Mytilus edulis: one gene and its partner. The protein of the gene in region 1 interacts with the protein of each later gene in a pairwise test. Links are inferred from orthologs where the notes say so. Each region holds a gene or a part of one and is shown in the gene's direction. Other genes may lie near its edges. The genes, in order: aldehyde dehydrogenase family 16 member A1-like and deoxyribose-phosphate aldolase-like.

The links.
Region 2: the proteins of aldehyde dehydrogenase family 16 member A1-like (region 1) and deoxyribose-phosphate aldolase-like interact in binary tests that used the Homo sapiens proteins (3 or more experiments, as listed by UniProt). The link is inferred for Mytilus edulis from reciprocal best matches to the Homo sapiens genes ALDH16A1 and DERA.

The regions. Positions count from the first base shown.
Region 1 is NC_092353.1:78,683,039-78,690,176, forward strand, and holds the start of aldehyde dehydrogenase family 16 member A1-like, read left to right. Parts: upstream 1-4,077; 5' UTR 4,078-4,158; coding exon 4,159-4,257; intron 4,258-7,138.
Region 2 is NC_092353.1:35,894,849-35,902,775, reverse strand, and holds the start of deoxyribose-phosphate aldolase-like, read left to right. Parts: upstream 1-4,639; 5' UTR 4,640-4,715; coding exon 4,716-4,746; intron 4,747-7,927. UniProt on the Homo sapiens protein: Catalyzes a reversible aldol reaction between acetaldehyde and D-glyceraldehyde 3-phosphate to generate 2-deoxy-D-ribose 5-phosphate. Participates in stress granule (SG) assembly.

The DNA.
Region 1 (7,138 bases):
TTTTGGGGTCGTATAAAAAGTACCAAAATATATCAAAACTAAACAATACTGAACATTAATCTATGCATGCCATTCTCAACAAAATGATCACAATGATATGAAAGAATGTTTATAATGTATAAATTTGTCAACTCATTTGGAGGCGTCTATAAATACATAAAATGTATCATTTTCTAAAACTACATAAAGACCCATTGATTTTTTGCATCAGTTAACCCCCTCCTCCTTAACATAAAAACAATACTTATAAGATAACCACTGATTAACATGATTACTACATTTAAGTTACAACAATGAACAAGATATACATGTATGTATCTTTATAAAAATGCTTTATCATAAATATATATACCAGTAAATGGGAATAAGTTGAGAGGTACAATTTATAATTAAATACAAAATGGTTCAGTAAAATCACTCCCGGGTGGGTGTAGGGTAATAAATACATCAATTTATTTTCACTTTCAATATTTTTTACTGAACGAGTCAAACACAGAAACAAAATTTACAATGGGGAGATGTGTGGAAAAAAATGTGAGAAATCTTATATTTACTTCACCACAATTTGCTAGCAGAACACCAACAACACCACCCATACCATCTCTGACAAGTCTGAACAGATATAGAGATACACTGGAGATATGTCATTCACCAGATCAGACTAGACTCTCACATGCCTCTAATTACTGTCAGATGCTCTTCATTAATTACACGAGGGTCAGAATGAGGGGTATTGCATTTTGATTGATTAAAATCTATTGAGCTTATGAAATTAAGATTGTTTGTGAAGTTGGAACTAAAATTGAGAATGAAAATGTTGTGTTGATTTGCATACACATACACATTTATTTATTCATGTATCTCATATTTTCTGGATGTATTTTCCAACTATCATGACTATCAACCCCTTCTTTCAATAAGTTTTCCTTCTTTCTAGTATAAATATAAATTCATGCTCTTTCAGTTTTAAAATAAGATAGAATTAAACTGCACTTTGGCATCATGATCACAAAAATTTTGATTTGAGGAGGAAGGACAGCTTTAAAATGCTGTGTAAAAAACTTGTCAGACCATGAGGAATGATTTTAGGGGCATTTCATCAATTTTAAAATTTCCAAAAAGATCAATTTTGTTGATGTTGTGATACTATATATATCAAGGCAGTGTACTCTTTTGAATGAATTGAAATTATAGCAACTTTTCACATAGAAATATGTATTGACAATCTACTATTATTATGATTTATATCAAATGTTAACTATATTTTTTGCTTTTTTTATGAGTAAATTTAATCATGATGATGAAAGAAGCTGCAAAATTAAATATGTCCTATATAATGTCAGCAATTTTTTTTCGATCTATAAAAATATACCACATTTTTTTTTTAAATATTTTAAAAATTCTTCAGTAGGTAGAAATTGTCTTAGAGTTGGTCAATAGCCAATTACGGAGAAAGAAAGCATCAATTTTGACAATTTTTCATCCTATTTCCTGACATGGAAGACCAAGGAATGCTGATAGATCTATATATTAATCAGTAGTGGACCCCAGTGAACAAATTTACCACAGTTCTTTGGTCAGAGTGAAATTGATCTGGCCATGGTCAGTCTAATTTCAAAAGAAGTCATTTGGACCCAATATATGAAATTTAGATTTTTTTTCGGATTTTTTAATTTAACACTAATTAGGACCTACACAAGTGTACAACCGAAAGTAGCCATTTCCTATGTGTATTTTAATAATAAACATGAGCAATAGTCATGATAGTTATATGCCTGCTGGTTTGCACTACTTGTGGAAGTTTTAGGCCCCTGCACCTCGCGTGTCATACATTAAAAAGAAGCCTACACCTCCAAAAACCACAGTTTTATCTGATTTCAATTTTTCATACAAGTTTGTGCTCATCATGCTTATCAGAATTAGCATTAAAACTAAGAAATATGACAATAGTGTAAGAATGATGTAACATGCATTCACTTTGAAATAAATGTTTTCAAGTTTACCTAAAAAAAAATATGGAGAGCCATTGGAGCCAAATAACGATATTTTGAGTATGGCCGTAATATAAAAAAAACCTGCATGGTAAGGGTTACGATTGCTGACTTCAGGCAATTGGCTTTTTCTCCCCATTCACAGTGCTATATCATGTATAATAATAAATGTAAACAAATGTTACATATATATAGTTTCTACCGTGAACATGATGAAAATGATATTTAACCTTGCATCATCACGACTCTTAAACCATTCGGTTTTGGTTCAGGTCCTCTCTAATTTTTCCTCGTATGAATCTAGGAAATACAAGGTCTTATTTGCACTTGAAATCCCAGCAATATTTATAGTAAAATCATTCAGTAGAGGGAAAACTGACAGAAAATAAAAACAAATATTTTGACAAATGCAAATGGCAAAAATCTGAAACGAAGCTGTAAATATGTAAATATTTCAGCATTTCTATTGCGAAACTGACAATGAAGATAAGTTAAAAGGTTTCTTGTTATCTCAATGTGTTTATTGCATTTAATTCGTGTGTGAAATATAATTTGAACGATCATTACGAGACGTAGAAAATGGAGGGAAAACAGAGGTTGACAGTCTGAAAATTTTGAGGACAGAGCCACTTATTTGTGCCACTATTACATAATAAGTTGTGTTACGTGTATAGCGCTACAGAATTGAGCAACTGGGAATTCTTTATTATATTGCACATAAATTAAAACAACAAAATAATTGAAGACTAAAAGTAGTTTTATTCGGAATTCTACACAAATGTAATAAATTACACCTTTTACCTGTTTAAAATTACCTGAAAATGCAGGTTACTTGATAAAAAATTTAGTGAAGTAATTTCCTAACATTACAGTTCATGCTCTTCTGAGCATTTTTCCTGCAATAACTTTCTCTGTATCTCTAACAATAAAAGATTGCCTACAAATGTACAAGTACCTGGCGGAGGTTACTTTTTACCTGTTTTAATTAAGTGTGCATGCATTTTCAGTTTGCAATAAAAACTAACGGTCATCATAGAAGAAAAGCGGAAACTTCTGTATGAAAACTCAAAATAAAACTATTGATCTATTTCTGTAATTTTTGAACTTAGTCATGATACAATATATTTGATTTGATTTGATTTGAGTTTTCCTTTCCTTTCTTGATTTATCATTAATGATAGTTTTTTTTATTTTTTACTTAAAAATAAATCCTTAATTTAAACATTTACTTACTTTAATACTACATGTACTAAACGAAAATACTCACTGCATATTTTTTTTTATTATCATATCAATATTTAACACCATTATATGATGATGTAATCTTCTTAACATGTAAAGGCCCCTAAGCATGGGAGGTTCTACATGTTCAATGCAAGTAAATGTGTACCAACTTCTTGTTATAAAATTTACCTCTATTATACATTTATATGGGCACTACAAATCAAAATTTTAAAACAATTTAAATTTATGTTGTGTAAAATATATTGTGAAAATCCTTGAATGGTATTTTATGTGGATGAGGAATATAATGAGTTACTGTACATGTATTTTACATGATGCACACAACTTAAAGGTCAAATCAAAATGTGGTGTTACATTTCACATTTGCAATGCATTTCTTATATGGATGAATGACTGTAAACAAACATAAGGGCCAATTGTAAGCATTTTTAAACATGCAATAAACAAAGTTTTAACATGTCCATGCATGAATGAATACCCACAATCTTTCTTTCACTAAATTGGGTTAAAATAATCATTTTGAAAGCTTCAAGATTTTTTTCATGATTATTGTTAAGAAAATGTTTAATTGTGTTCTGTAAATTAATTATATGTATTTCTTTATTGCTTCAGGGATCAAAGTTCCAAATTTATTACTTCTCAGATCAAAGAGAAAGTGGTTACTACGGTTAAAGCTAAAAGATGTCGGCTTTTTATAATGTGACGTGTTCTATTATGATTAAAAGACAAAATTCATTTTAGAATGCAATAATACTGTCTCACATAAACGTCTAAATCAAGCAGAAAACCGGCGATAAACTCACCAAAATTATACGAAATTTTTTTCAGTGGTGGCTGCCATGTTATGACGTAGAAGGCATGCGTTCGCTCGTGACTTTTCGGTGTTAACTGTAACCAAACGACAAAGCCCGAGAAGACAACTATGGCTGCTGACACGAAAACCAACACAAAAAATTCTGTTGCTGAAATCTTTAAGAGCATGGACTATGGACCTGCTCCTGAAGCTGACAATGTTGCTAAGGTTGATTTCAATACATTCTATTATATATTACAAATGCACAAGAGCTGTCACATAATAATTACCCCACTGACCTCATTACAAGCCAACACATAAATCATGTTCTTCCATGTCCATGACTTTGTACACAATATAAATGTAAACTATAGATTGAGCAACACAAACTCCCAACAAAAACAATGTCGACAGGGTGAAATATAATTATATATTGACTTTTAAACAACATTAAAAAAAAATCTGCTTTCTCAAACAATATGTCAAAACAAGGATTATTATACAAATCCTTGGTCAAAATAAGACCAGGCAGAGGCGAATTGGGGGGGGGGGGGGGGGGGGGGGGAATTGGTTGCTTATATAGGGAATCATTGAAGCATGAATGGAGCGGGCCTCCTCTTAGGTCAGTCAGTGGGCCCCCACTTATGAAAATTTCTGGATCCGCCACTGACAGGAACATATATTTTCAGGTAAATAAGACATTTAAGGTGGTACCCAACACTTTGACTAAAATTAATTTGGCTCGTTAAAAATTTGAACCAACAGTTTTATCAGAAAAAATACACTGGTTATATAGCAGTTTGACGAACATCAATTTTGATCATTGAGAAGCTTAATATTGCCTTCACAACGCAACGTAATTAAAACGTGCTGCTGATTTTAGAGTTATCTCCCTGTAGTGTTAGGTACCACCTTAAGCAAAAAATTTGCTAAAAATAAAAAAAGGTTAAAATTTAGCAAAAGAATAGAATATCTCAATTTACCAAATTAAGGGTGAAAGACTGCATATCAGACAATGTCAGATTATCAGACTTTTAAACAATAAAATTCATGCAATGCTTCTGACAGGAGTCAAAATCTCTGGATTTTTTAATTCTCTTCTGTTCCCCCTGCTTTAAATTTAATTTGGCTCTTTAACAAATTTTATCAATGTCAAATTTTGTTGAACACTTGATGTCAATCTTTGTTAAGTTAATATTATCAAACGGCTTTATCAAATTAATTAATATTATTATTTTGAATCAAGGTTATTTTTATTAGTAAATTTAGTTGACAACAACTTGGATTGGGTGTCAAATTAATGTCTATTACAATGTACCTCAGCCCTAGGTCAAAGATAATCTGTGTATTTCAAACATGTTCAAAATTATTATTTGAGTTACTCCCCCTGTTTTAGCATATATTTCAAAAGTTTACCCCTAAAATACTATCTATCATTGATAATCAAATTGAGAATCAAGTACAAATGGAATTTAAGATTATATAAGAATATTACCTGAAGGGTCTTTTCAACATACACAAAAAGTATATTGCAAATCATGGGAAGTCAAAGTCGCTTAAAAAAACAATCATCAGTCACCTCAACAGCTTTTGGATTGTGTTGACAACTATAATAATAAAAGAATACAGTTCTAATGTTGCTGGTGTTGTACATGTTTTTATCTTTAAAAAAAAAAAGCACTGGAAATGAAGTCTTTAGAGCAAATGCAATGAGACTTCCTTTATAATTTATATTTCCCAGGGGCAAATTTCTTTGAAAATATTTGATAAGCAGATGAGAAATTAGTGTCTATCATGTCAAATATTTAATTTTCATGATTTCTAACAAGAATTGAACTTATGAGAGCTCTAATAATGCAATTTTCTGTATAATCAATATTTCCACAGTTCCAAGGGGCATAATTCTTTTTAAAAGTCTTTGATCCACACTGAATTTGGAACTCATCCAAGACATTGCTAGTATTAAAGTATGATAGAACTTTCATAAACAAAAAATGAGTGCACTAATGAAGCAATTTTCCTTACGATTAATGTTGCCAATGCGCAGAACTCTTTTAAATTTTTTAAAAATAATTGATCAGGACTGATTTTTGAACTCGTCCAAAACATTGCTGATATAAACATATGATATAAGTTTCATAAAAATATGGCAAGAATTGTACATGTGAGATCGCTTAAAAAACTTGACAGATGGATGGAAAGAAGCCTGGTATTTCCTTGTCTCCTGCAACACGTTAGCTGGGGGAAAATAACTTCTCTAATTTTTGGGCTATTTTCACATTTCCTGACAGATGTGAGAAAAATATTTCTCCTCACTAGTAAAATATCTGTTCTCGGCAAATTGATTAGTCAAAATTTGATTATGACGTCAAAATGTTTTATTTTCTTTTACATTTTCCTATAATGACGTCATGAAAAAAGGCAACCATGTCTGATGACGTCGCATATAAAAAACACAAGTTTCTGAAAATCTTTGAAAAAGAAGGATAAAAATCATCAGAGAAACAGATTCCAACACTATAACTTGTGTATTACAACATTTTTACACTCTCGACAGTTAAATTTTAATTATTTATTGCGAACCCTATCTTAGTTTTCCATAGATTCACCTGCAAGTTACCTGTCCATTTAAACTTTTGTAAGTCCTATTGTCCCATCTAACAAATACAACAGGTATTGTTCTCTGTGTAGTTTATTCACTGGGACCTTTAAATTTCTTCTAGGAGAAATATATCACTCATTGATTAATTTACCTGACCAAAAAATTATCTTCTTTTTTATTGAAATACTTCTAATAACACACATAAACTGTATGCAATATTGTATTTATTCAATATTATCATTAATATATTTTCAATCTGTTCAATATAAAATCTGGTTTAATACTAAAAAGTTTATTTCAGACACATTTTTTAGTATTTTCCAATGAATTTACATGTTTTTGTTGTTGTTCATTTATAGACTTATGTTTATGAAGACCTTAATTTAAAAATAATAATATTCAATTTTTTATTTATCAAACACACAAAAATATTGAATATTTGATCAGAAATCAACTTTTAATTTTTGAATCAGTATTACAAATGTAATATTGAACACATTAAAAACG
Region 2 (7,927 bases), about 43 Mb from region 1:
TTTATATAGTTATAAAGCCAGCAAATACGAATATCTCATAAAACTAGTAAATGCACGGGGTAATAAATAATTACGGACGTCAAATCTGTTGTCTGTTCTCTCTCATCATTGGTAGCGTGAATAACTAGTCAATAGTAAAAATGATACTTTTATTAAACAGCCGATATATTTCCATAAAAGTACAATATTCCAACAATAATATATAATAAACATACGGGGCGAAGATACTTAAAATAAAATGCAAGGCATACAGCTATCTGCGCTGCTTCTTACCTCTAAATTATAACCCTTACTTGTAATATAAAATGCGAGGCATACAGCTAATGCGCTGCTTCTTACCTCTAGGAACCCCCGGGATGAGCCTTGCTGCAAGCCAAATCTAAACACAGCAAAAACTGACGAACGTGACGTTGCACTGGTATTTATTTCAAATTACCGGAAGTAAATATTCTAAGCAGGAAGAAAAACATAACGTAACATAACGTAAAACGCTTACATAAAATATAGGAGTCCTCGACTCAAAATGCTTATAATCAAACACTCTTATAAATAAACATATCTAGACATATAAATTCTTCCAGTTAAAAACTCGTTAATGTACACTTTTGGGTTCACGCTTAAAATATTGACCCAACGGTAACGTTCTGAACAATACATGACAAAGTTGCGCCATATACGACGTTATCGATACAGCTAATAACATAAAGTAAAACGTACGTTAATTACTCATTCAATATACTAAATACTAGAAATAACTTCTGACAACTTATATAAACCCTCTTAATACAATAATAACAATATTCCTTTACTTGGAAATAACCAATATATACATTTACAACACTGCCCCTCCCCCAGAATACATTTCGTCCTCGAAATATGGTCTTGTCAACTCTGACAACTGATACATTTAAAAATATTCTGTTCACAATATTCATACGTACATAATCCTCTTATCATACAAATAAAACAAAATTTTCTTCCAAGTATGAATATCTTCTCTTACACCTATATAACAGTAAAGTGTCACGAAAAAACAAAGTTCTATATTTTTTTTTATCCCGTTACAGCACTAATATACTTCATTTAAAATTCAATCCAAGATTCTCCATTCTATCAGACACTGGAATTGTAAAAATCATGAAGCTCAACTTCTTTTAAACACCCGGCTAACCATAAGCCGACAGATGTCCTATTAAGTTCTATACCACAAGGGTATCCCGCGTATAAATATATACACTATCTTCGATACTGATGCACCATACAAACAAAAGTATAAAAATTAGTACAAGGTACAACAAATAAAAAAAAATGGTCATCAGTATTCCCCGAGAAATATCTAAAATGGTGTAGACTATAGCTCAGCATTCCCATGGTGTAACCTAAATGTATATTGCAATCTAGACTACTGCCAATATACACCCACCGAAAGCAGCTTCCCACCAAAATAGTATTAAACAATCTTTATTGCATAAAAACAACAACGCCAATTCAATAGGACCATCAAATTCCAGATTCTGATAAAAAATCACCTGTTTCCAAAAAATCTCAAAACAATTTCAATACCACGATATACTTTCAAAAATCTATAATACTGTATACTCTTCTCAAAAAACAATAAATCTCTTTTTACATTTTATCAATAACAAAAAAAAATCACACAAGTTTCATAACTACATTATAAAAAATCCCAATCTACACAAAAATACTCTGATATTTGGCCAGTGTAGGCCTATCTGATATATAGTCCTAACTATTTCTGATAATCCTGACTTGTAAATCCAAACTGCGGGTTTCCTCCGAAAGTATTCATATTTTCTGGTTTCCCTCTTTTCCTCTTGAGAAAGGACAATCTCTGCTGTAATGTCCCTCTTGGTGGCACGAGTAACATGTATTTACTCTGTTACTGTTGTTTGCTTTAAATTGGTCTTTCTTCCTAACATTATGTCTATTCAACGGACCAATATTTTCTCTTTCTTGCTTCTCAGTTTTAAATAGATCTTTTATCTCATTTAAATCCTGCTTTATGTCTTCAACATCCATTTTGAACTCCTTTTTCAAATTGTCTATGCCCATTTTAAATTCTGCATAAGTGACATATTGGGTTGGATTCTCCGTCCGATATACCTCGAAGTCTTCTGTTTTCTCTTGTTCTATACAGTTTGCATCGGTATTTACTTGTCTGACATTAACGTTTTTATTTACATTTTTTCGACAACACTCGTGCCATGTGACTATATTTATTGCATCCTGCAATGTTGCTGGCTTCTGTATGAGGACCTCATAAGCTAGTGACTGGTCTGGCAGACCCTTAATAAAGTGTTCTGTTTTAAAACGGTCCAGTAAACTCAAGTCATTTACATCAGGGTATGCCTTACCTACTAGTCTCTCAACACGAAATGCATATTCTTGTATGCTTTCTTTGTGGTCCTGTTTGATAAATTGCAAATTGGTCCTATAGGTCTCTGGTAATATATGGTCCCCAAATCTCTGTGACATAGCCTTATGAATACATTTGATATCTTTATGGAATGGCATAGGAAGCTCATTTACATATACTAGGGCTTCATCTCTCAGACAATTTAGAACCATTGGACCATCTAAACCTATTACTCAGTAAACTAAACTGTGTCCAGAAGGCCTTGAAATCCCCTTTACCATCAAAGAATGGACTTCTAGGTTTTGGTTCTTCCCTTTGTAGTTGCTGAATACGACTACTTTCTCTTACATAATTTGTATTAACTGGACGTGGTGTATACATGTTATCAGTACTTGGACCAGCTACTAACTGTTGGGTCACTGATACCTGGTTATTATGTTCAGTTGTGGTCATGCTATTTTGACTGAAATTCTGCATATTGGTGTTATTTTCAGCCACATGGTTACCCCTTGCTAATTGAGCTATATTTTCCTGATTATGCTTAACTTGCGTGTTCATCTCTGATACTTGCGTGCTCATCTCAAAAACTTTCGTCTTGAGCTCAGAAAATCTATCATTTTGATTTTTTAATTGTCTCTGAATGTCCGTTAGAATAGCAATAATATTGTTATCATTCAAATTCGTCTTACTTTCCTCAATCGTTCTTGTATTCTTCACAGACGAGTTTATCGGGCTTACTATGGGGCTGTAGGTAGATAAATTAACATCATCTTCTATACCCAAATCTATCAAATTACAGGGCTGATCAGTTCCGCTCTGTGAAATAATCATATTCTCCATACTTTCCCCCCTTCCAAAATTTGGAGCTGGGATTTTTCTATTCCTAAGATCCATGTTTAAAACAAACAGTAATATGCCAATAGAAGCTAACTGCACCTCTATTCCCCTAATAAATAATTATTAGGAAGCTAAATGCACCTCCTTTATATATTTTTTCTCTAGGAAGCTAAATGCACCTCCTTAATATATTTTTTTTCTCTAGGAAGCTAATTGCACTTCCTTTATATTTTTTTTCTTTAAAGGAAGCTAAATTCACCTCCTTAAAAAATATTTTAAAAATTTAGGAGCTAAATGCACTCCTGTATTTTCCAAAATAATCCATTCAACACAGAATTATGTATAGAGCTAAATGCACTCCATACACAATATATGTCACTTAGTGTGTTCCATACAAATTAATATTTCTAAAAATAGACGTGCCAAATTCCTTGAAACGTGAAAACTAAACCGCTGCCACCATTGTCGTAATTTCTGCTTCTTGCTATGTTTTTATATAGTTATAAAGCCAGCAAATACGAATATCTCATAAAACTAGTAAATGCACGGGGTAATAAATAAATACGGACGTCAAATCTGTTGTCTGTTCTCTCTCATCATTGGTAGCGTGAATAACTAGTCAATAGTAAAAATGATACTTTTATTAAACAGCCGATATATTTCCATAAAAGTACAATATTCCAACAATAATATATAATAAACATACGGGGCGAAGATACTTAAAATAAAATGCAAGGCATACAGCTATCTGCGCTGCTTCTTACCTCTAAATTATAACCCTTACTTGTAATATAAAATGCGAGGCATACAGCTAATGCGCTGCTTCTTACCTCTAGGAACCCCCGGGATGAGCCTTGCTGCAAGCCAAATCTAAACACAGCAAAAACTGACGAACGTGACGTTGCACTGGTATTTATTTCAAATTACCGGAAGTAAATATTCTAAGCAGGAAGAAAAACATAACGTAACATAACGTAAAACGCTTACATAAAATATAGGAGTCCTCGACTCAAAATGCTTATAATCAAACACTCTTATAAATAAACATATCTAGACATATAAATTCTTCCAGTTAAAAACTCGTTAATGTACACTTTTGGGGTCACGCTTAAAATATTGACCCAACGGTAACGTTCTGAACAATACATGACAAAGTTGCGCCATATACGACGTTATCGATACAGCTAATAACATAAAGTAAAACGTACGTTAATTACTCATTCAATATACTAAATACTAGAAATAACTTCTGACAACTTATATAAACCCTCTTAATACAATAATAACAATATTCCTTTACTTGGAAATAACCAATATATACATTTACAACAATTATTTTCAGTTTTCATCATAAACTTTAAAATAAACGTATCATTTCAAGGTTGTCCAAAATTGATGCAAATGAACACTGCAAAGTCTAAAATTTTATTTCATCTTTTGAGTGTTTTAGAGTAACGAGGATGTGGTCTAAAGCGTCTCAAACACACTGAAGAGAGAAAATATGTCGGACAGAAATCCAGGGATTGAGTTTGGTGAGACGATTGTGTGCAACATTTACAGAATACTGATTAAGTGTCATTTACCCCACTGATATGACCATAATCCCGTAACCTATAATTTGTAGATATGGCACAAAATGTGCACCCGAATATAGGTATCTTGTTTTGTTACCCCCATTGAAGCAATGGTTACATTGGTTACATTGGTTACACACATGGACCTTAAGTAAATGATATGCAATAGTGACTTTATCTTTTGCAAACTGTACATGCATGGCTGTCCATGGGAAATCCAGTAAAAATTTGTAACAAGCCTGGGAAAGTCGGGTTACAATGGTTACATGCATGGGAAATCAGATTACAATGGTTACATACATGAAGAATAGGGTAACAATGTAACATGCATGGAGAAATCGGTTACAATGGTTACATGCATTGGGAAGTCATGTAACAATGGTTAAATACATTGGAAAGATAGGTTACAATGGTTACATGCAAGGAAAATCAGGTTAAAATGGTTACATACATGGGAAAGTTGGGTTACAATGGTTACATACATGGGAAAGTCAGGTTACAATGGTAACATGCATGGAGAATCAGGTTACAATGGTTACATGCATGGAGAATCAGGTTACAATGGTTACACGCATGGGAAAGTCAGGTTACAATGGTTACATGCATGGAGAATCAGGTTACAATGGTTACATACATGGGAAAGTCAGGTTACAATGGTTACACACATGGAGAATCAGGTTACAATGGTTACATACATGGGAAATCAGGTTACAATGGTTATATACATGGGAAAGTCAGGTTACAATGGTTACACGCATGGAGAATCAGGTTACAATGGTTACATGCATGGGAAAGTCAGGTTACAATGGTTACATGCATGGAGAATCAGGTTACAATGGTTACATGCATGGAGAATCAGGTTACAATGGTTACATGCATGGGAAATCAGGTTACAATGGTTACATGCATGGAGAATCAGGTTATAATGGTTACATACATGGGAAATCAGGTTACAATGGTTACACGCATGGAGAATCAGGTAACAATGGTTACATGCATGGGAGAGTCAGGTTACAATGGTTACATGCATGAAAAAATCAGGTTACAATGGTTACACGCATGGAGAATCAGGTTACAATGGTTACATGCATGGGAAAGTCAGGTTACAATGGTTACATACATGGGAAAGTCAGGTTACAATGGTTACATGCATGGAGAATCAGGTTACAATGGTTACATACATGGGAAAGTCAGGTTACAATGGTTACACGCATGGAGAATCAGGTTACAATGGTTACACGCATGGGAAAGTCAGGTTACAATGGTTACATGCATGGAGAATCAGGTTACAATGGTTACACGCATGGGAAAGTCAGGTTACAATGGTTACATGCATGGAGAATCAGGTTACAATGGTTACATGCATGGGAAAGTCAGGTTACAATGGTTACATGCATGGGAAAGTCAGATTACAATGGTTACATGCATGGAGAATCAGGTTACAATGGTTACATGCAAAGGAAAGTCAGGTTACAATGGTTACATGCATGGGAAAGTCAGGTTACAATGGTTACATGCATGGAGAATCAGGTTACAATGGTTACACGCATGGGAAAGTCAGGTAACAATGGTTACATGCATGGAGAATCAGGTTACAATGGTTACATACATGGGAAAGTCAGGTTACAATGGTTACATACATGAAAAAATCAGGTTGCAATGGTTACATACATGGAGAATCAGGTTACAATGGTTACATGCATGGAGAATCAGGTTACAATGGTTACATGCATGGGAAAGTCAGGTTACAGTGGTTACATGCATGTAGAATCAGGTTACAATGGTTACATACATGGGAAAGTCAGGTTACAATGGTTACATGCATAAAGAATCAGGTTACAATGGTTACATGCATGGGAAATCAGGTTACAATGGTTACATGCATGGAGAATCAGGTTACAATGGTTACACGCATGGAGAATGAGGTTACAATGGTTACACGCATGGAGAATCAGGTTACAATGGTTACATGCATGGGAAAGTCAGGTTACAATGGTTACATGAATGGAGAATCAGGTTACAATGGTTACATGCATGGAGAATCAGGTTACAATGGTTACACGCATGGGAAAGTCAGGTTACAATGGTTACATACATGGGAAATCAGGTTACAATGGTTACATACATGGGAAAGTCAGGTTACAATGGTTACATGCATGGAGAATCAGGTTACAATGGTTACATACATGGGAAAGTCAGGTTACAATGGTTACACGCATGGAGAATCAGGTTACAATGGTTACATGCATGGGAAAGTCAGGTTACAATGGTTACATGCATGGAGAATCAGGTTACAATGGTTACACGCATGGGAAAGTCAGGTTACAATGGTTACATGCATGGAGAATCAGGTTACAATGGTTACATGCATGGGAAAGTCAGGTTACAATGGTTACATGCATGGGAAAGTCAGATTACAATGGTTACATGCATGGAGAATCAGGTTACAATGGTTACATGCATGGGAAAGTCAGGTTACAATGGTTACATGCATGGGAAAGTCAGGTTACAATGGTTACATGCATGGAGAATCAGGTTACAATGGTTAAACGCATTGGAAAGTTAGGTTACAATGGTTACATGCATGGAGAATCAGGTTACAATGGTTACATACATGGGAAAGTCAGGTTACAATGGTTACATACATGGAAAAATCAGGTTGCAATGGTTACATACATGGAGAATCAGGTTACAATGGTTACATGCATGGAGAATCAGGTTACAATGGTTACATGCATGGGAAAGTCAGGTTACAATGGTTACATGCATGTAGAATCAGGTTACAATGGTTACATACATGGGAAAGTCAGGTTACAATGGTTACATGCATGGAGAATCAGGTTACAATGGTTACATGCATGGGAAATCAGGTTACAATGGTTACATGCATGGAGAATCAGGTTACAATGGTTACATACATGGGAAATCAGGTTACAATGGTTACACGCATGGAGAATCAGGTTACAATGGTTACATGCATGGGAAAGTCAGGTTACAATGGTTACATGAATGGAGAATCAGGTTACAATGGTTACATGCATGGAGAATCAGGTTACAATGGTTACACGCATGGGAAAGTCAGGTTACAATGGTTACATACATGGGAAATCAGGTTACAATGGTTACATACATGGGAAAG